Notamacropus eugenii: one gene and its partner. The protein of the gene in region 1 interacts with the protein of each later gene in a pairwise test. Links are inferred from orthologs where the notes say so. Each region holds a gene or a part of one and is shown in the gene's direction. Other genes may lie near its edges.

Region 1 (10,651 bases):
CATTTAATAAATTGGTAAATTGAAATTGACTTTACCCAATGCTACCATGTGCTGCAAGAGAAAAATCTTATATCAGATAGATAAAGATTTGATAATCTATGACCTAAAATCTGAGTCTGATCTGCCAAACAGTTGCAATGACCTATGGTACCCAAATCTGCCTTGAAGCAATTTGAGTCAGATCTCATAATACCAGGAAGACTGATTCTAGTATTACCAAGACCAGGACATTTAAGATTCAAGAGACTTTTTAGGAATCACATACTGGAAGGAACCCCAAAGGGAATCTAAATTAGCCCCTCAATTCATAGAGGAAGAAATCAAGACCAAAGGAGGGAAAGTGACCTTCCCAAGGTCACCCAGCTTGTTTTATTAAGAAGGGGAATAATCCTAGTCTCTTCATTCCTCAGCTTTTTTCTCCTATGACATGTTACCTCCAGTTGAAAGAGTCAAGAGGTTCACAGAAGTGATGGTTGGGGCACTTCTCTCAATTTTTTACAATCACTCTTACCCTTCCAATCCAACCAGAAACAGAATTTAGAGAATGGTAGCCATAAGAAGTTATTCATAAGAAGCATTCATATCTGGGTCTTCATGGCTTCCTTTCCTGCCTTGTATTGGTTCAGATGGATTGGGAAAAACTATCACTTGGTCTGGAAATGTCAGTAACTGTCTGAGCCACAGATATTTGGTTGGACAAACGTTATTTTGGTTTTTCTCGGTTAAAATTGGACAAGGGGAAAAACACCCTCCTCACTTCAACAAAGTGGTCAGGCAAGAGCTTGTGCATCTTTTACACATTTGCTCATGTATGTTATGCCCCCCACATTTTTTACTCTTCCTACCAACCTAACCTTTTCATTTTCTTCAAGACTCAACTCTGTGAACAAATAGCCTTTTTTAAAGACAAAGAAAAAAAGAAGAGAAATAAAGCCAGCATAGCTGGTTTATTGATCATTGAAAAAGTCTGAAAATATATGCAGTGTACACACTTGTGAACCTGTCCCTTCTAGAAAGGAGTGGAGTGGGAATGTCTTGTCATATCTATTTTGATTGATGCTTTTCTTTATAATTTTCCAACATTTACTTTTGATTTTAATGGTTATGTCTTTGCTCTTTCTTTTTACATTGTTGTAGTCACTGTATATAATTTCTTGGCTTTACTTACTTCACTCTGCAACAGTTCATCTGGATGAATGACTAAATAGACCTATTTTAAGTGATTCCTTCCCACCCTGCCCCAGGTTGCAGAGTGGCTATGTAAAGATCTTGAGAGTTCAAGAAAGAGTTTGATTCTTATCTCTAATGGCCTGGGATCGCCCCAAGACCAAACCTGGTTTAAGCATGACGGTGTCTAGAATGGATAAGGCACCTTATTAGAGAGCAAAGATGTAAGTGCCCCAACATCAGTCTTTATTGTTACACACGTGATAAGGAGGAGTGACACAAAAAAGAGGGAAGTAAATTAAATACTTCATTTGTTGCTTTAGATTTCTAGTTCTTTATGTATTTGACAACATTCCTGTAATGTGCAAACTGTTCCTTGGAAGTTAGTGTAAGAAGGGGCTGGTCAGGAAGACCTTAGTCCTTATGAACTTGCACAGTATGCTCTGCATGATGTAATCTTTCATATGAAGTACTCGAAGGTCTTCTAAGGATGTTTCTTGTCCACTTATCATGTGGCCTTTTGATGGGCTGTTGTGACAGGTCCATTGTCTAGCAAGGTTCCCCATATCCTTTCGCCTAACTTGACTAGGAAAAAGGGACAAAGCTAAGACTTGATTGTCTCAGGAGTGGGGCAAAGCTCAAGCTCTGCTTCCATTGATCCAGCTTCCCAATGGCCTCTGGCTGTGTTGGCTTGGCTTCCTGGTCACCTAGGGGAATAAAAGCTCCTTTTCTCTCCCCAAACCACCCAATGAGGGGACCTTTTTGATTTGGTATAGTTCTGAAGACCAAGAGACTAACCACAACTTCCCTGTAGATTATATGGGCATTGGGAAAGGGGCCACATCTGTAGTAGCTGAGCGCTACAAGTTACATATCCTTGTTATATCAGGTCTAAGTAAACCTCCTTTTGTTAACCATTCAGTGACTTACAAATGCCTTCTTGCATCCTGACACTGAAACAACTAACATGGTACTGGTGTCAGATGAACCCCTAACAACTTCTGAGCTGGAACTGAGTGTGCATACAAAAAGGCACTGAGCAACTAAATGGACCTCTTTCTGCTGTGGTGGCAAGAGCTGTGGACCCTCTCTCATCCAGGCTGTGGCCTATCAGCATCTGGTCCTTTTGTAAATTCTATCTCTATTAGATCTATTTTTTTCAGCTTAGATGATACTATCATGGATACCTTTGGTGTTGTTAGTTTTGAAAGATCAGAAGAATGAGCCTCGAGAAAGAGGTCCAGGAACATTACAAATTTTGCTGGCAAGCTAACCCTAGTGAAGCGTACAACCCTGAGGAATGACTTGAAAGCCCCAGCCCAGAAAGTGGATTGATGTCACGCTCAAGGGTTACTTGGCAAGTAAAGGAGTAACTTTAAACATTTAGAAGTAAACTTGGTGGGATGAGTACTTTGTAGTGAGACTGAGGTGATATAGTGGAAAACATGGCCTTGGTTCAGGAAGAGGTATTTGTAACTTCTACTCTTACTACATCTTCTTAGCTAATGTCTCTATATTAAAGCTAATTGATAATAATGTCAAATGATATGCAGCAATAATCAATGGAATTGATGTTGAAAAGATATTAATTGGCACTGGTAATTGATGTTAGAAATAACACACTAGAATGCAGGCTCAAACTGATAGTATTAGGATACCCCATATCTTTTATGGTTATTCCTACAGCCCTGAAGGGGGAAGATGTGGCCAGCCGTCTAGACAACCAACTCAAAAGTGTGGATGTGAGTTGGGATAAGGACCTCCACATTTTAGATGGATTACATTCGGATATTTAATAATAGTACACATACTTTCAGACTGATGGTATTATTAAATGTTTTTAAAACATTCAAAGGCACTTATCTACCAGCTCATAGTTAATTTCCCTCAAAATGGCATTTCCCAGCCCAGAGGCTTATGGAAACATTAAGAAATGCAGAGCCCTCATTATGCAATCTTACTTCTAGTTTAAAAATTTTCAGTGGTTCTTTATTCATCAGACTTCATAAAATCTTGGAATTGAAAGCCTTTCCCTTAACATGATCTCCAACCTACCTTTCCAGCCCTACCTTCACTCTAATTCCCTTAAACCTTTCTCCTCAACTTTAAAGTAAGGACATCTGTAAGAATCATACGAGATAATGTATGTAAAATACTTTGAAAACCTTAACATTCTATATAAATGTGAATTATTATTTTGACATCAGTCTGGAATGCCCCACCCCTCTTCTTCTCTACTTTTGTAATCCTACCCATGCACCAAGGCCTGTTCTCTCCAGGAGGACTTCTTTGACCCACTGCCAGAAGTGATTTTTTTTTCTTTCTTTTGAAATCTCATAACATTCTGTAACTTTCTGACAGTGTTTAACATATCCTGCCTTGAATTACAATTATTTTCATATAGCTTTTCTCCCTGTACCCCACTTCACTGTAAACTCCTTAAAAGCAGGGACTTAAATTCTCTTTGTATTCTATCCAGCTGAACATAGTGCCTTGTACATAGAAGGCGGTTAGATCTACACTTGTTGAAAGAATTAATGCATTTAATTAAAACTTATTCTAACCACCTTGACCCAACAGTATCATTCTGTTCTCTTAGTTTCTACAATCTTTATTACCTCTTTGGGTTCCTAGAATTTCCTGCTTATTATCTGCATATTTAAATTGCAAATTTGTAGAGAGCAGGTTTCTCTGTATCCTCCTCAGTCTAACTCATTGCCTTGGATAGTGTAGCTTCTCTAGGATGTTAATTGACAGCATTACTAGGGAGTAGAAAATACTGGTTGTCATGTCTGATTCTTTGTGACCCCATTTGGAGTTTTCTTGGCAAAGAGTACTTTACCATTTTCTTTTCCAGATCATTTTACAGATGAGGAACTAACACAAATAGGGTTAAGTGACTTGCTCAGGGTCACACAGCTAGTGTCTGAGGTCAGATTTGCATGAAGGAAAATGAATCTTCCTGACTCCTGCCTGGGTACTTTATCCACTCTGTCACCTAGTTGCCTCACAGGAAATATAGATAAGACCAAAATCTTGCTGTCGAAGAGACTGTCAAGGTGGCGGCTGACAGACAGGCATATGTGATCTGCCAGAGAAGGGGTGCTTTTCATGTTTGAGAGGCAGTGTGATGTAGAAGACCACTAGAATCGGGAAGAGCCAGGTTCCTAACTTGATCTAGATACTTACCTAGGCAACACCTAGGGTAAATCACTTAACCACTTAGTTTCCTCATTTGCATAATAGAGATAATAATAGCACCCTACAAGATTGTTGTTAGAGTCAAGTGAGAATATGTAAGGCACCTATAAGGTCAGTCAGATTATCATCATCACTATGAAATACTAACCCTTGGATTTGGGGTGGGGAACAAAAATGGCTCTTAGGCACTGTGGGCAGAAAAGAGGGGAGAGAGGTTGCTTTTTCCCTTTTTCCACCACTATAAGATGGACAGCTCCTGCTAGATTTCCCCAATTGCCCCAGCCGTCAGACCTCTCCTTCCTCATCCGAACTCATCTGGATATTTTGTATCGAGCGCCTGGAATCATTTGACACATGCTACTTTGTATTCCTATTTATCTGAGCACAAGCCTAATCAACGCCTCAGCGCCCCACACCTTAATACGACCGAGTCACTAGCGAAATCAAAGCTACTCAAAGGCGTGTAAAGACAGCTTTTAGGGGGTACGGTGTCCCCAATGCTCAGCACTCAGTAAGTGCTTAATTAATGAATTCTCGATGAATAGTAGACTCTGCGGGTCGTAGATTTAGAGCCCCGCGGGGCCTGAGACCGAAGCTAAGCCCAGCTCCTTTGAAAGACGAGGAAACTGAGGCCGGAGGAAGCTAAGTGCCTGGAGCCCGGTCCCGAGGGCCAAATCCGAGGGAGAGGCTCCTTCCTCGGATAAGGAAAGCTTGGTCAGTTCGGGGCTGCGGATGAAATGCAACGGGGAAAAGACCACGGGTGATCCTAGGGGACACGCAGGTTAGAGGGAGGGGGTGGACGCCCGGCGGTGCCTGGGACTTGCCTTCGGATCTGTGGGGGGCCGCGCCTCAGTTTCCCGGTGTGGGAAATGGGCGTGGTGCGTGGGAACCAAACCAGAAAGGAGCCCCCCACTGCCCCCGTCAGCCCCGCGGAGGGAGGCACGACCTCGGGAAAAGGGGTGGTGCCTGCCCGGGGCGGAGGACGGCAGCTGCGGCCCAGCGGCTAAAAGCCAAGTCGTGGGAGGAGGCTGGGGGCGTGGGGTTGCGGGGGTCCTCTTTTCCTCGGAAGTCAGTGTGTCTCGGGGTCGGGCAGCTCCTGATCTTCGCCCCCCGTCCCGGCCCAGGAGCTCTGGAGGGGAGAGAGGCGGGGTTCTCGCGCACGGCGCCCCTCCACCCCCCGCGAGGAGGAGGCGGGAGGGGGCCCGACCCAGGCGGTTGGGGTTAGGGGGCCCGGGGGCGGGGGGAAGGGAGCGCGTCCTCGCGCAGGCGCGCGCACGCTCTGGCGCGCGAATCCGCTCGACTCGCTTTGCTCGAGGGGGCGGGTGGGGAGCGGGGGAGGCGGGGGGAGGGGGCGCGGAACGCACGGATGCGCGCACGCAGGCAGGCGCGCCCCCTCCCGGCCGCCATGTTGGATGGTGTGTGGGTGTCAAACCTCGGCAGACGCCGTCGCTGCGAGCGAGCTGGGCGGGTGGCCCCCGACTAGGCTCCGGCTCCCTCCCTTCGTCCCCTCCTCCCCCTGCGCCCTGTACTTGAGGGCCCCTGGGCTTCCGGCGCGGGGGGGGACCGGAGGAGGAGGAGAAGAGAAGAAGAAGGTGAGCTTGGGGCGGCGATGGAGGAGGGGGCGGCGGGAGGTTTTCGGCCGTCTCCTTCTGCGGGAGCAGAGCGGGAGCCGGGCCCCGGAGCCGGTGCTCGGCCGCTGCGGGGGCCGGGGCTCGAGGAGCCGCCAACGCCCTCGCCCTGCCCAGGGGTGGGCAGGACGGGGCAGCCCAGCAGGCCCGAGCCCCTCCCCCGACGCGGGGCGGCGGTGGGGGCGTGGGAGGGGGCCCCTCCCTCCTGCACCCCCCCTGCCTCCCCTGGCGTCCCTGGGGCTCCCGGGCCGGGCCGCCGCGGGGGCCGCTTCCCCAGCCCCGACCCCTCCCCTGCGCTTGGAGTCACCCTGCAGCCCCGGGGTTGGGGAGGCCTTTTGTTCCCAGTGCGGGTGTGAGCGCGAGCTCGGTCGGGGTCCGGGACTGCCCGCCTTGGGTTCAGTCCTCTTTCGGGGGTCCCCTTCCCTCCCCCAGTGACCCGGGGCCCCGTGTTTTCCTTCCCTTTTTGGCAGATCATGGCAGCCCAGGCTCTGAGGTGAGCCCGGACTGCTGGAGAAGGCTGCGGAGTGCAGGAGGTGCCGGCAGATTTTGGGGGTGTTGAACCCCCTTTTGGGTTGTTCCCTGCCCAGAGTGTTTCTGCGCGGGGCTTTTGCGTCTCCGCGGCTCTCCCCGAGCACATTCTTCTTCACCCAGGCGTTGGAAGCTAACAGTTTACGGGCACCTGGGAGTCTTTGGAGTTGGTGCTTTATCCTAGTGCTCAGGATCAAAGATTTAAGATGGAAAGCAAGCCTTGAGAATATTACGTGAATGTTAGGTGTTGTCATTACTGGGCGTGTTCAGGGGGTGGTCGCCCAGGTGTATCGCACTTCTACTCCAGGTGCGTAGAAGAAGGTGAGAACCAAGGCTTTAGTCTGTTCACCCCTGCCTCTGAAAGGCCAACGGTGGAAACTCTGGGTTAAATGAGGGCTGGGCTCTCGGTGGGGGTGAGAGGGGATTGAGTTTATACAATCTCTGCGCCCCCATTTACCACCAGATAACGGAAGTTCTTCAGAAATTCTATCTATCCCAGTGATAAAAGGGGTCTAAATGACGCGGAAAATGTCTGTATCGTTTTTTCGGTTTGTATTGCTGATGAAGTTTTCATCTGTGTTTGACTCAACGTTGACCTGGTTTAAATACTGCTTCTCAAATTTCTTATAATCTCTTACTCATCCAAGAGAAAATCTGATTATAATCTGCGAACCGTGGAATGCAGTCAGCGGCTGTTCTTTTTGGGATTTTGTCACAGAAGTCATGAATTGAATCTACTGGGTAAATTTGTCATTCTACAGTTTTCAGTAGAGTTTTGTGGAGAGTTGTTTCGCTCTTAAAGTTTTAATTTTCTGTGCCATTGAGAAATGGAACGTCACTTTCATTCATTGGCAAAGATTTATGAAATGCATGCGCTCTTCAGAGCCAAGTATCTTTTTTGTAAGAGTCTTGTAAGGAGATTAGTTAGGCCCAGCCACTTGAAGTGAGATTAGTTAGGCCCAACTACTTGAAGTATTAGAATATATTTAAAACTTTAAAAAATTATAAGATCTGACTTCATTTAACTAAGTCTGAAAAAGGCTCCTTTGTAGAAATATATTTACTTTATGTATAATAGTGTCTTCTGTGGCAAATCAAGTATTTTAGTGTTATGACTTCATTAATGTAATGAATGATAAGTAGTTCAAATGATTTTTAAATTTTTTTCACTTTATCATATTAAACATTTTGCTTTTCTGGCGTTAAGTGAAGCATTTGTAACATTTCATAAGGGGAAGTATAAATTTCAACTACACAAAGTCTGTATCCAGTTTATTGTTTTGGGAGTGAAGGGAATGGGAAGGTCTGCACCTGTGTTTGCTTCATGGCATAGCGGAGAGGGAACTGGGGTTATATCAAATTATTTAACCTCTGGCCATCAGTCCCTTTCTAAAGCAAGGGATTAAAATAGTGTACTAGCCCCTTCCATCTCCAATTCTGTGATCTTTTGATTTCATTTAGCATAGGGAATTGTCTTCACCCATGAAAAATGAAGATTGAAAACTCAGTAATTTAGCTTCTGAGTATTGCTTAGAGCGAATGACTTGTCCTGGTCACTAGGCTATTAAGTGTTAAAGGCTGCCTTGCAAGTGTCCTAAGGCAGCTTAGAGTAATAAAATCTTAGAATTTCAGACCTGGAAGGCATCTGAGAATTTATCTAGTCTACTTCCTTCATTTTATAGATGAGTTTCACATAGATGGGAACAGTGCTGGAACTAATAATGCCCAGGCTTCGTGTATAGGACATGTATTTTATCATATTTACATGGTTCCATATGTTTAGAGCTATTAGGGTCTTAGACTCTAAACCTAAGCCCTTTCACCCCTGTACCAAACAGCTTAGATTTCGGTGGAAATAGTCATAGTCATTTCAGTGGGAATAATTTAGAAGTTTAAGATCATAAATTGTGAATTGGATGGCCAGAATTAAATGGGTTTCTGGCAGCTGACAGGCAAATGAAACTCCAGATGAGGAGCAGTTAGGTTAATATTGAAAAGGCTTATTTTAAAAATCAATTTGAGGAAATAACAGCATTGTGAAATAGAGTAGCAGGCTGGCAGACAGCAGAGTTTAAAAAAAAAATCTAGGTTCAAGCATTAACTCTGGACACATACCTGTTCCTGTGCCACCCAGGGAAAGCCACTTAACCTCTCAGTGCTCTAGAGTCCTTCTTAAGATAGATAGCAAGTTACATGACAGTGGCTTTTCTGAATGTGTGAAAGGAGTTTTCTCATTTGGAACTCACTATACCAGTGAAATCACAGATGTGCACCAAAACCACCTTGGGATTTGGTTCCAGAAATTCTAGTAGTGTATTAGCCTCTTTCATTTCAGATCTGTACCAATGCTAAAATGCTAACAACTTTGCCTTACTTTTCTTAGGGATTCATTCAAAACAATAATAAATAATTACTACTGGTTTTGTATAGCACTTTTAAGATTTGCGAAGCACCTTACATCTATTACCTTATTTGATTTTTTACAACTTTATAAAAGTAGTTACTATTATCCCCATTTTACAGATCAGTAAAATAAAGCTGAGAGTGGTTAAAGGCTTGTCTAGTTTACCTAGCTAACGTGTTGCAAGCAGGACTTAAACTCAGATGCTTCTACTCAGAGTCCAGTTAGAGATCAGGTTGCTATGCCACTTAGCAAACAGGTATAGGGGATTTTTTTGCTACCTATAAAATATTTCATAGCTCTTTTCACTGTACCAGTTTGTTATGAGAGGCAGCTAGGTGGTGAATTGGAGAGAGCATCAGGCCTTGAGCCAAGAAGACCTGAATTCAAATCTAGCCTCTGATGCTTACTAGCTGTGTGACCCTGAGTACATCACTTAACCTCAGTTTGTCTCAGTCTACTTATCTATAAAATAGAGGTAATAATAATACCTGTCTCCCAGTGTTGCTGTGAGAATCAAATAATTGTAAAATGCTTAGTTAGCACAGTGTCACACATAGTAAGATCTATATTGTTGTTAGCCATTAATATTAGTGTAATGTTGAAGAATGTTGTCTTAAAATGTTCTGGAGAGTAGGTGACTTAGTACATTAATAATAATTTATTATTTTATATTTATATACGATTTTAAGACTTGTAAAGTACTTCATATATCACTTCATTTTAATCTCAAAAAAAGTAAAAGCTCTATGTGGTGAGTGCTTATTATTCCCATTTCAGAGATGAGGAAACCGAGACTAGGAAAGATTGACTTCTTCAGGGTCACATAGCTAAGTAACTTTCTGAGGCAGGATTTGGACTCAGGTCTTACTTATTATAAGTAAACCACTCCACTGGGCTACCTAGCAGCCTGTACTAATCAAGGAATGGAATTTATGTATTGCTTTTTGAGATTACATTAATGATAAATAGATAAGGGCAAAATCAGCTTCATCCTGAGAGATTATTGATTATACTGAATGCTGTCTGCTTAAAACTGTCTGTAATTAAGCTGTATTTGCCTTTGAGTGCAGGTTCTGTCTCTGCTTCTTCCAAAGCAAACATTACTGTGAGGGGTATGGCATAGTAAAACTATAATGATTAAAGGCTTCTAATTACTGCTCTGAAATTGATCAACAAACTTGGGAATGAAATTTGGTTTTACAAAGGGGATTTAGTTTTAGTATTTTCCAATTATAATTTTGACTAGTCACAAGTATCAAGGTTTGTTGATTTTTTTCCCCCCTAATTTGATTTACTGAAGGAAATTGTAGGAAACCTCTGTTCTTTAAAGATGTCTGTAAATGCAAGAGTGTGTTGAAAATCAGAGTTTGTGATTCTCACAAAGCTAGATGTAATTTTGTAAATTGAAAAGCAAATTCGTAAGGTATTTTTCAATTTTCTAGTGTTCTTTGAATTATATTCCTTAATCAGCATTACATTGGAATCTAATAAATTAAAAACAATTTGCTTTAAAACTTGTTCTGATGCTTTTCTTGAAGCAAATAATTTATGCTTTGAAGGTCTGTGTTATGGAGGCGGGAGGTAGTATATGGCAGGTTAGTACATAATGGAGGTAATCCCAGGAACTCTTCATTCCTACAATCTAGATTGACATCATTTTTGGTGGTAAATGTTTGTTTTTCCTGAATGATAAATAGCTGCTCTACATGCTATAGATATGAGT
Region 2 (9,749 bases), on another chromosome or scaffold:
TCAATGTGTGTGCCCACTTTTCCCAGCTTATATTTATGGATTAGTGCACCCAAGATTTATGGATAGAATGTTGTGCTTGTCTTTCTGTAGCTGGAACAAGTTTCACCTTAAATCTCTGGTGCTGGTTGTTGCATTGACCATGAGTTCTGATGCCTTTCAGTGTTGTTTTCCTTTATGTTATTGTAATTATTATGTAAATTGTTTTCTTGGCTCTGCTTTTTCTCTTTTAACCCACACAACTCTTCTCAGGTTTCTCCGAATTCTTCATATTTGCCATTTCTTACCATGAAATAATATTTCATTATGTTAGTATGTCACAATTGTTTCAGCCATTCTCCAATGAATGGGCAACCTCTTTGTCTATAGTTTTTTGCCAGCACAAAAAAAAGTGCTGCTACAAATATTTTTATATACAGATGGGCAGCTAGGTGGTGAAGTGGATAGAGCACTGAGCCTGGAATCAGGAAGACCCGAGTTCAAATTTGATTCTGAGATACATACTAGCTGGGCAAGTCACTTCACCCTATTTACCTCAGTTTCCCCATCTATAAAATGAGCTGGAGAAGGAAAAGGCAAACTACTTCAGTATTTTTGCCAAGAAAAGCCCAAATGGAGTCATGAAGGGTCAGATATGACTGAAACAACTGAACAACATCATACAGGATCCCCCAAAAGTCTTAGCGCAGTTTTAAGTTTTAGTAGCTACAAATAGCTACTTACTATGTTATTTTTACATATTAGTTGAATATTATGCATTTATAACTGTTTATATATTTATTTATAACATATTATAGCTATTTACAATATCTATAAATAGTTATTAAAATTTAAAGCTGCACTGAGATCTCTGAGACATAGTGTATTTGAGAACTTTCCCTCTGCCTTTGAGTTCCTTGGGGCATATGCCCAAGAGTGAGATAGTTGGGTCAAAGGGTATATACAGTGTAGTAACTTTTCTATAATAGCTCCAAATTGTTTTTCCAAATGTTTGAACCAATTTACAACAAGGAAGACCTGAGTTCAAAGCCTGCCCCTGTGTAAAGGCAAGCAAAGTAGGATCTTTTGCTGTTTTTGTTTTAGTATAATCAAGAAGTATAATGCCTCTATTTGTTCCAGGATCCATAGTCATTTAGATTGTAAGGCCAAGAATCCTGGAAGGGTGGAGTGTGATGGCAAGCAAAGTGGGATCTTTTGCTGTTTTTGTTCTAGTATAAAGTGCCTCTGACTGAATAGTGTGATTAAAGAAGATCTTCCCCAGTCCTTATGGGCTTGGGAAGCTTTGTAGGAAGGCCCACACCTTTTATTAATGAGGCACTAGTTCTCAAGGGTTGTGATGCCCTCTGGCTCTAAAAAGGGTATAAATACTTTGAGGATTAGATTTTACTTTGGGGTTTACTGACTGGAAGTGTTTGTTTGGTCAGAGGAGACTCTGGGCCGCCACTAAGGAGCCCCCTGGCTTTGAAAACCCAGATGTTGGTGCTTCCCTCTCTGGTAACTATGGTCAGACAGTAGGATATATCTGTTGATTTGTGATATATGTATTGGTTATGGTCAGATAGCTGGAAACCATGTCTGTTGATCTTTGATTTCTCTGTATTTTCTCTGAAGTTCAGGGTGCTGATTTTTTTCCCTGAACTAGGGGAATGATATATGTGCTTGATTAAAGGAGATTGTTAACCTCTCAAAAGTTGCCTTTCCTTTTAGAAATGCAGATTAAAGAACCTGTGATAGCAGGCCCACCTGTGTATGTCAGGGTGCTTAGTTACTCCCTGATAGATACTGATAATGTTTAATATAAAATTTTGGAATAATCTCTTTGTTCTCTCTGAAGCAAACTCAGAGAATGCCTCTTCCTATGTCAACAAAAGCCTGCCAGGGCTGACTTAACATTCCTTAAGAGACCTTTAACCTAAGACACTATCTTGAATAATGGGACGTTTTCCATATCTTAACATTTGTAGACATATCCTATGTTATGGCATGTTAATGGTAAAGAAAACACAGACATCTTGGGTGGTAATTTCTATGTGAAACTTTGTCAAACTCTGTTATCTTATTGTATTTACAACCTATGCAATTAAGAAATTCCTTTCTAATGTCTAGTTAGTCACTTATGGAGATCATAAATCTGAAGGACACAGAACACTTCTTTGTCCTAAAACATATTTAAGCCTGCCCAATTCTTTGTATCAGTAGCCAGAACATTTCTGGCTCCATAATGCATTATGTTACCATTTTCTTTAATAGGGAATTGATCAATTAATTAATTAAATCATAAAATGTATGCATTTAGCCTGTTGCCTTTTCTTTAACCAAGTTTTCAGGTCAACAAGTGTTTCCTAAGCTTTGCTAGGCTTTTCATATCCCCAAAGCCAGCTTTTTTTAGTAACAACCTTGCAGACATATAAGTGGTAGTGTTGAGGTCAGGGAAACATTTGTTGAGGTTTAGAGTGCTTGGGACCCCAAAATACTGACAACCCGGGCCCTGCCTGAATGAATTCAGCCCAAGCCTTCTTTCAACCAAAGTAAAACAAAGTTTATTAAAGATTCACCATATTGGGTTGACTCTTAAGCCTCACCATTTGTAAGGCTTGTATTGATGGTAGGCCAGATAGAACCTCAGCAAGACTGGATCAGAGCCAGATTGAATCTGAGCACCTTTATGGAGGTAAGAGGGATCTTATATACAGAAAGACTGTGGGAGGAATTCTGGGGGTGGTCTAGTAGTCAGGGGTGATGAAAGGAGGGGTAGGGAGGGTCTTGATGGAAGGGGGGCGGTAACTGATCAAGTATGGGAAGCAGCCAGTAGCAATCTGGAGGCAACAGACAATGGAGGGCCAGGCTAGGTTAAGGGTAACAGATTTGGGTATGAAAAGCCCCATTAAGTGGGAAGATTCAAGAAGAGTTCAAGGAGGTTCCCAGAGTCTGTACCCCATCAGAAGAGAGTTCCTGTGAAGATTTTTAGGACTTTGCTACCAGGGGGTGGAATGTAATAGGAATAATATTTTTACATAGGGTTGGTGTGTTTTCTCTTTAAAGAGGCAAGATCAAGATCTGGCTGGTCTGGGCGGCTAGAGGCATAAGAAGTCTAGCCTACATATACTTAATATTCCTGAGGTTTCGTGGAATTCCCATTGCTTTCATCCAGCATTATCCTGGAGAATGAAGATGCAGAGGAGAGCAGCATCTAATTTTAGCAAATTGTATACTTTTAATTTTATTGTATTTAAATCTGTTTTTGTTGCATTATAAGGAACACAATATGGCATTTCAGTCGCAAGCTTGAATTACTCAGTGGACTGAACTAAGCTAGGGCTGACCCAAAAGAAATGACATTTATTTAAAACACTGTCCTTCGATGTTTATGTATAAAGGTTATATCTAAGTGGTTGTGGACAACCAATCAGTCTGTAATGATGCTCTGGTTCCACTATATTTTATCTGTGGACCTCTCAAAGATATTTTAGGATTTGGTAGCTGGGACATTTGTTCCCAGTTAGTTTTAAAAGATAATGAGTTTCTGGTATGTAATTCTAGCCATCTCTCATGTCTTTCTGGCTAACCAGAAAGTGAATGAAAAAAATCCATGAATAAAAAAGGATTTATTAAGCATTCACTGTGTGTAAGGCATTGTGTCAAATGCTGAAGATACAAGTTCAGTCAAACCAGACAATTCCTGCCCTCAAGGATCTGCTATAAGAATTTTCAAGCAGAACCAGGAGAACTTTGTGCACAGCAACGACCACAGTGTGCGAGAGTTTTTTCTGGTAGACTTGGAATTTAGTAATAACGCAAGAACTTCTTAAAAAAAAAAAATCCCAATGGTGGTTTTCTAAGGCAAAATGCCTTCCACACTCAGAGAAAGAAATATGGAAGTTATTCGCAGAATGTAGCAGATCATGTTTGTGTGTGTGTATGTTTTTGTGAATCATGTTTTGATTTGTTATATGATTTCTTCCATTTATTTTAGTCCGACTACACAGCATGACTATAGTGAAAATGTACTCAATAGGAAAGTATATGTAGAACCTATACAGAATTGTATGCAGTCGTGGGGAGGGAGGGGGGTAGTGGGGGGGGATAAAATCTCAATTGTGTGGCAGTGATTGTTAAATATTAAAAAAAAAAGAAAGAAAAAAAATTTTCAGTCAGCTACACTGCAGTCTATTTATCCATTCAACGTGACATAGTCTGTCAGCAGGTGATGGGCATGTGCTTCTCACAATTCCACAGATGACATACATACATTAGACGTGTGTGTGTGAGTTTGTGTAACTTCCTGACCCATGGACAGTTTTGGAAGACATCAGGTAGGGCTTACAGAGAGGAAATGGTATGGAAAGGATGCTTAAACGGTTACAAGGCCTTTCCAGCACAGCCATTTAACAGCATCTTCTTCATCACTCAGTGAATTAACATTTGTTAAGCTCCTACCACCAGGTCTCATACATTAGCTGGGACAAAGGGAAGTGGGTGAGCTCCTGGAAAACTATTCAAAATCCTCTGAATTTTCTTTGGCAACTGAAAAGTGATGGGAAGGAAGGACTTACTGAGGGTGTGCATTCAGCGTCACGCAGAAAAGATTTTAAAATACATAGCAAATAGAACATCAAATGAAGCCACTCACCTTCTCCCAAAACATCCACTTTTGGCAAAGCTTATAGGAAGACATAGGAAATAATGTCAAATAGAGTAATATTTAAGGTGATTCGGGGGCAGGCCTGTGGCACCTCCAGATCCTCGGAAAAAGCCTCCCATGCAGGGACCTAGGCAGGCAGAGGGCTCCTGCGGGGAGATGCCACGCTGGAAGCCACCTCGGGGGTCGCCGAGCCCCTCACGCGGCCGAAGAGGAAGCTGAGGCCCCGAGAGGCAGGCTGGGAGGCCTCGGCCCAGGCCTAAGCAGGAGGAGGTCCGGGGACGCTTCACCAGCCAGCGATCGATGGGCCCAGATTGAACCTCAACGCTGGCTGGGCTAGGCCTGGACGCCAGGACGAGGATTCCTAACCTGGGACCGGTAAACTTGGTCTGAAGATGATTTTGATCATCTCCTTTGTAATCTTACCTATGGTATGCACTGAAGGTCACTCTTCCGAGGAGTCCACACACAAAAACTTAGAGAACTCGACCTACCCCCCCGCCCCCAAATCCTGCGCAGGACGCAAAGTCCCCAGGGTGGTGCGTGACATACACTTTCTGACTTGTTCCATGTATTGATTTTGCTTGTTTTATTTGGGGGGGAGGGCGTCTCATTGTTTTTTCTTTAAAAATGTTGTTCACCGGGTGCCTGAGGGGAGGGAGGGGGAGAACCAAAGGTTGAAATTCTGGTGAGGTAAAAAGCAATTTAAAAAAAACCTAGCTCTAGAAGAAACAAGGAATTACTTGAGATTTTTGGGCACGGGGAAGACCCAGATTGGAAATCAATATTCCCAGTTCTTCTATACATCTTTCCAAACTAGGAACTCTAAGTCCTTCGCCATTTGGGTGCTCCGGAAGTTCAACAGCTCCTACAGTCTAGGGCGAGGCCAGAACATTGCATGCCGGGAACTGTAGTCTTCGGACTTGTTTGTGATGAAACTGCTACAAAAGAGCAAGTGTAAGAGGTAGAGGAAAGCGATAGAAGGCGGAAGAAGGGGGGAGGGGGAGGAAAACGACAGGCGAACGCGTTCACGTGACTCGAGGGTCAGGTGGTTGTTCCTCTCCTGCCCGCATACGCACCCTGTGATTGGCTGGAACTGAATTCCGAACGACGACACGCGGGGCTGGGCACGGAGCGCAGGCGCACTGTTCTCCGAGGTCTGGAGCGGGGCGTCTGTGCGGCCCGGCCATGGCGCTCAACAGGAACCACTCGGAGAGCGGAGTGATTGTCAACAACACGGAGAAGTGAGCGGCGCCGCGGAGGGATTCGTCGAGGCTTCTTAAAGGGCGGACAGGGAGGGGGGCGGGGAGGACGTTGGGGTGGGGGCGAGTCGTCGAGGGAGGTGGGGTCAGGGTAGTGTAACGGCCTGGGCAGAAGGAAGGAAGGAGGGGGCGGGAAATCTTAGCCCTCCCCCGTCACCTACCCCTCCTGGAACTGCCAGAGGGGCCTAGGCCTGCAGCAGCTGGGGGAGGGGAGGGAACTGAGCTTCCTGGGTGGGCGTCGTTGGGGAGGGATTGGGGACCAAGGACAGCGTCAGCTTGGGGGAGGGTAGCCGCGTAGGAGATTTGGCTGGAATGTTGGGCCTCTCCGCGCCCCATCTGGTGCTGGAATCCCCTTTACCCCCCCTCCCCCACTGCGGGCCCGGCTGGGCCAGCCTCCTCCTCCCCACCCCCGGAGCCGAGGGAGAATGACGTCGGAGCTGAGAGCGGCGCCGGGGGTCGTCCGGCCCCTCCCTCATTCTTCAGGTGGAAGATGATGAAGGCCAGAAAAGGGAACTAGACGGGAAGGAGACTCCTGATTGCTACCCGCCGTCCTACTAAAACACCCACCCACCCCCACACCCCTTTCTGCTCTAAGACTCGCAACTTCTTGCACTGCTGGGGAGAGGCAGCGAAGACTTGACTCCTGCTTTCACTATGTGGATGGAAGCTCATTAAATTTACCGAGTACTTCCTCCTATTTGGAGGAGGCTAGGGTGGTCATGCCATAAATGGTATTGCAGTCAAACCCCCCCCCCCCAAAAAAAACCCTGGTTCTGTGTTCACTATTTCTGCCCCTCTCCTTTGACTACTTCAACATAGGAAAGGATGCCACCCCTCGAGCATGTCTCGCTACCTGCTTCAGGATAGCCCTACAACGCCAAAAGGACCACTGTGCCAGTTAAGAGGAAAGAAGTACTTAGGGACCAGAACTCATGTTGAAGCAGATTGGCTCAAGTGTGAGCTTAGACTTCAAAAAGATGACCTCTTCACCTTCCCTGCATAGGACCCAACAGGCTTATCCTGTTTCTGATAATTAACCTATTTTCTCCACCTGCATTTGTTTCAAGTTCTGTTCCACCCATCCTCTTAAAAGTGGAAAGGTTTTCAGCCTGGGTCTTCTTGGTATTTCCCGTACAGGACACTAGTGTCCCCATGCTGTTGCACATTTTGCCCCCCAAGTCTGGACTTTATCTTAGAATCACTTGTTTCAATCAAAATTCAACAAAAATTTAATCTTCTGTGCAAACCTTTCCTGACTGTCCCTTCCCCCATCTGTTAGTGTTCAAAGTATCTCACTTATTTTGTAAATGGACATGCACATATAAATAGCTTGAGGGCTGTGGTTTGTTTTTTTGTCTGTATATTCCCTGCATCTAGTACTGTGCCTGGTAGATAAGTAAGAGCTTAATAAATGCATGTTTAGTGATTAATTGGTTGGAGTAGGAGGACAGACTCAACCACCAGGAATAGTTCATTTGATTTTTATCTTGTAAGTAGAGATATCCCATGATGCTCATTGGTTTGTGACCTTTTTGTGTCCAAACAGGCTCTTGGAACAAGGAAACACTGTTGCTGTCTTTCAGTATCATCTCTTGTGACTGTTTTTTATTCTTTCTCAGTGGGAGTTTCTGGGACAAGGACTACCTCTCGCTTTGCCTCCCACACTTCTAAATGCTCTGTGACTGTTAAATAAGGATATGCCTTGCTTTATATAAATTCTTTAGTTTCATTCCAGGAAATTAGTGTATAAATTGAAGTTAAGATTTGAACCTCCTTTGTTCTTTTATTATTTGAAGGAAACTTTAGTGAGTCCTTTAATCATCATTTCATAATTTATCTGTTTTACATTTTCTTTAAGTGATCATGCCTGCAACTAGACATTTCATAGAATTATAGAGTTGGAAAAAATTTCATGGATCTTCTAGTCCAGGTGTGGGGAACATTCAGTCACATGCGACCCTCTAGGCCCTCAAATGTCGTTCTTTGACTGAATCCAAACTTCAAAGAACAAATCCCCTTAATAAGAGGATTTGTTCTGTAAAACTTGGACTCAGTCAAAGGCTGCACTCAAGGACCTAGAAGATCACAGGTTCCCCACCCTTGGTCTAGTCTAATCCTTATTCATAACATGAATGTTATAATAAACACAATGAGTTGCCATCTAGCTTGCCTTTGAAGATTAGGGTGAAAGCGTTGTCTGTGGTGGCATCAGCTTTAACCTTGCAAATTGGAATTCTCCTTCCTTATCTGGCACTTATTCCAGATGGAGCTGGTAGTGGTATGTTTGAGATTCTATAGTCTACTGCTTGTTGAGGGGTGGGGGTGGGGGGGATGGATGCAGGAGGAGAAGAGGAATATAAGGAAATAACACAGCTTTTTATTCACACTTCAAGTCATATCTCTAATCTCCCTTATAATCTTCTTGCTCCCTTCCCGTTGTAGTATTCTAATGACCTACGATCATGTGGAGCTCTCCTTCAGTGACATGGATCACATGACAGATGCCTTCAAAGGAACCAAGAAAGGCAGCCTCTATTTGACTCCTTACAGAGTAAGTCTTTGGAGTCCTTACCTGTCATTTTGAGACCTGACATTTTAGAAGAGTGACTCAGGTTTCTAGCAACACTGACACAGGTCAGTGAGTTGGATGGCCCCTGAAACATTAATGACTTTTTATTTTCCCATCTCCCATGGTGTTTCTTTGTCACAGGCTCCTCCCAGGACTCTGGGAGTCTGCTGTGTCTCCAGGTAGCTGAACTGACAGCTGCTGAGTAAGCTTCTACAAACTCCAACACTGCCATCTTCCATTTATATACAGATGACTAGAGCTGCTGAATTCACATAGACCTAGAGTAGGCTGAGTAGTTTTCATTTTGATTTCAACAGAGCAACTGTTAGCCTGAGACTTCTCTGCAAAATGTACAAAATGATGAATATGGTGACACAGCAACAGATGCCCAAGCCAGGAAAATAAGCCAGCAGTGCCTTGTAGAGTGACAAATACAAGGTTGCAAAAACAGAGCTTGCTTACTTCCCAAAGGCTTAATAAACTGGGGTTTCATTAGCCCCAGAGGAAACAAAAGGTTTTCCCCGGAAAAGACTCCTTTAGTTGCCTAAGGGGCATATTTGTGTTGTCTTTTGGAAGGGACATTGTGTTATTCTTAATTGTCATGGCTTAGCAGAGTAGAAGATGTCATATTATGAAATTGGCCTTCTATTGAAAGGTCAAAGTCACCATCTTGAATTTCATCCAAACAAATAGGCAAATCAAGACAGAGGGATTTTAGACACATTTCTAAAACTCTGGAGCTCCCCAGTGATTTGCTTGGTTGCCCCAGGACAGTATGGAAGGGAGACAGTTGAGAGGTTGGTGTGGTTTGCCTCACTTTCAGGAGATTAGGAAGTTCACTTTGGCCCCAAAGCAGCCTGTGTTCCACCCCTTGCCTATTACATGGCAGGTTTACTTCAACATTTCCAAGAAGCCTTTCTCCATACTCACCTATGCTGTTCCCCGAACACTTAGGTGCCACTGCATTATCAGAACCTAGAAATTTGTATTTACACTTTTCAAAGGTGTCTGATTCATATTGTCTTGTCTAGTCTAGTAAGGGTATTTTCCACAGGCCCCTTCTCAGGATGTGTTGCTTTATTGTTTCATATATAATTGGCCTTCTTGCCTAAGGTCTCTCACTTTAATCCATGAACCAAAAGTGCTCTGCCTGAAGTATAGGTCTGACTGTGTCACTCCTTGCACAAGAACTCTTTTGCCTTGGTGATCAAATGAGAACTTCCTCTTTGACGCAGTCTGAATCCAGCCTAACTATGCTTGTTATATGTTATTTTCCTTCACA

Evidence for each region. The genes of interacting proteins can lie anywhere in the genome.
Region 2: the proteins of EPN2 (region 1) and WBP2 interact in binary tests that used the Homo sapiens proteins (3 or more experiments, as listed by UniProt). The link is inferred for Notamacropus eugenii from reciprocal best matches to the Homo sapiens genes EPN2 and WBP2.

What each region holds. Positions count from the first base shown.
Region 1 is NC_092874.1:319,844,445-319,855,095, reverse strand, and holds the start of EPN2 (epsin-2), read left to right. Parts: upstream 1-5,715; 5' UTR 5,716-5,960; intron 5,961-6,835; exon of another isoform or gene 6,836-7,265; intron 7,266-10,651. UniProt on the Homo sapiens protein: Plays a role in the formation of clathrin-coated invaginations and endocytosis.
Region 2 is NC_092873.1:342,035,044-342,044,792, reverse strand, and holds the start of WBP2 (WW domain-binding protein 2), read left to right. Parts: upstream 1-5,642; 5' UTR 5,643-5,824; coding exon 5,825-5,880; intron 5,881-8,340; coding exon 8,341-8,449; intron 8,450-9,749. UniProt on the Homo sapiens protein: Acts as a transcriptional coactivator of estrogen and progesterone receptors (ESR1 and PGR) upon hormone activation. In presence of estrogen, binds to ESR1-responsive promoters. Synergizes with YAP1 to enhance PGR activity.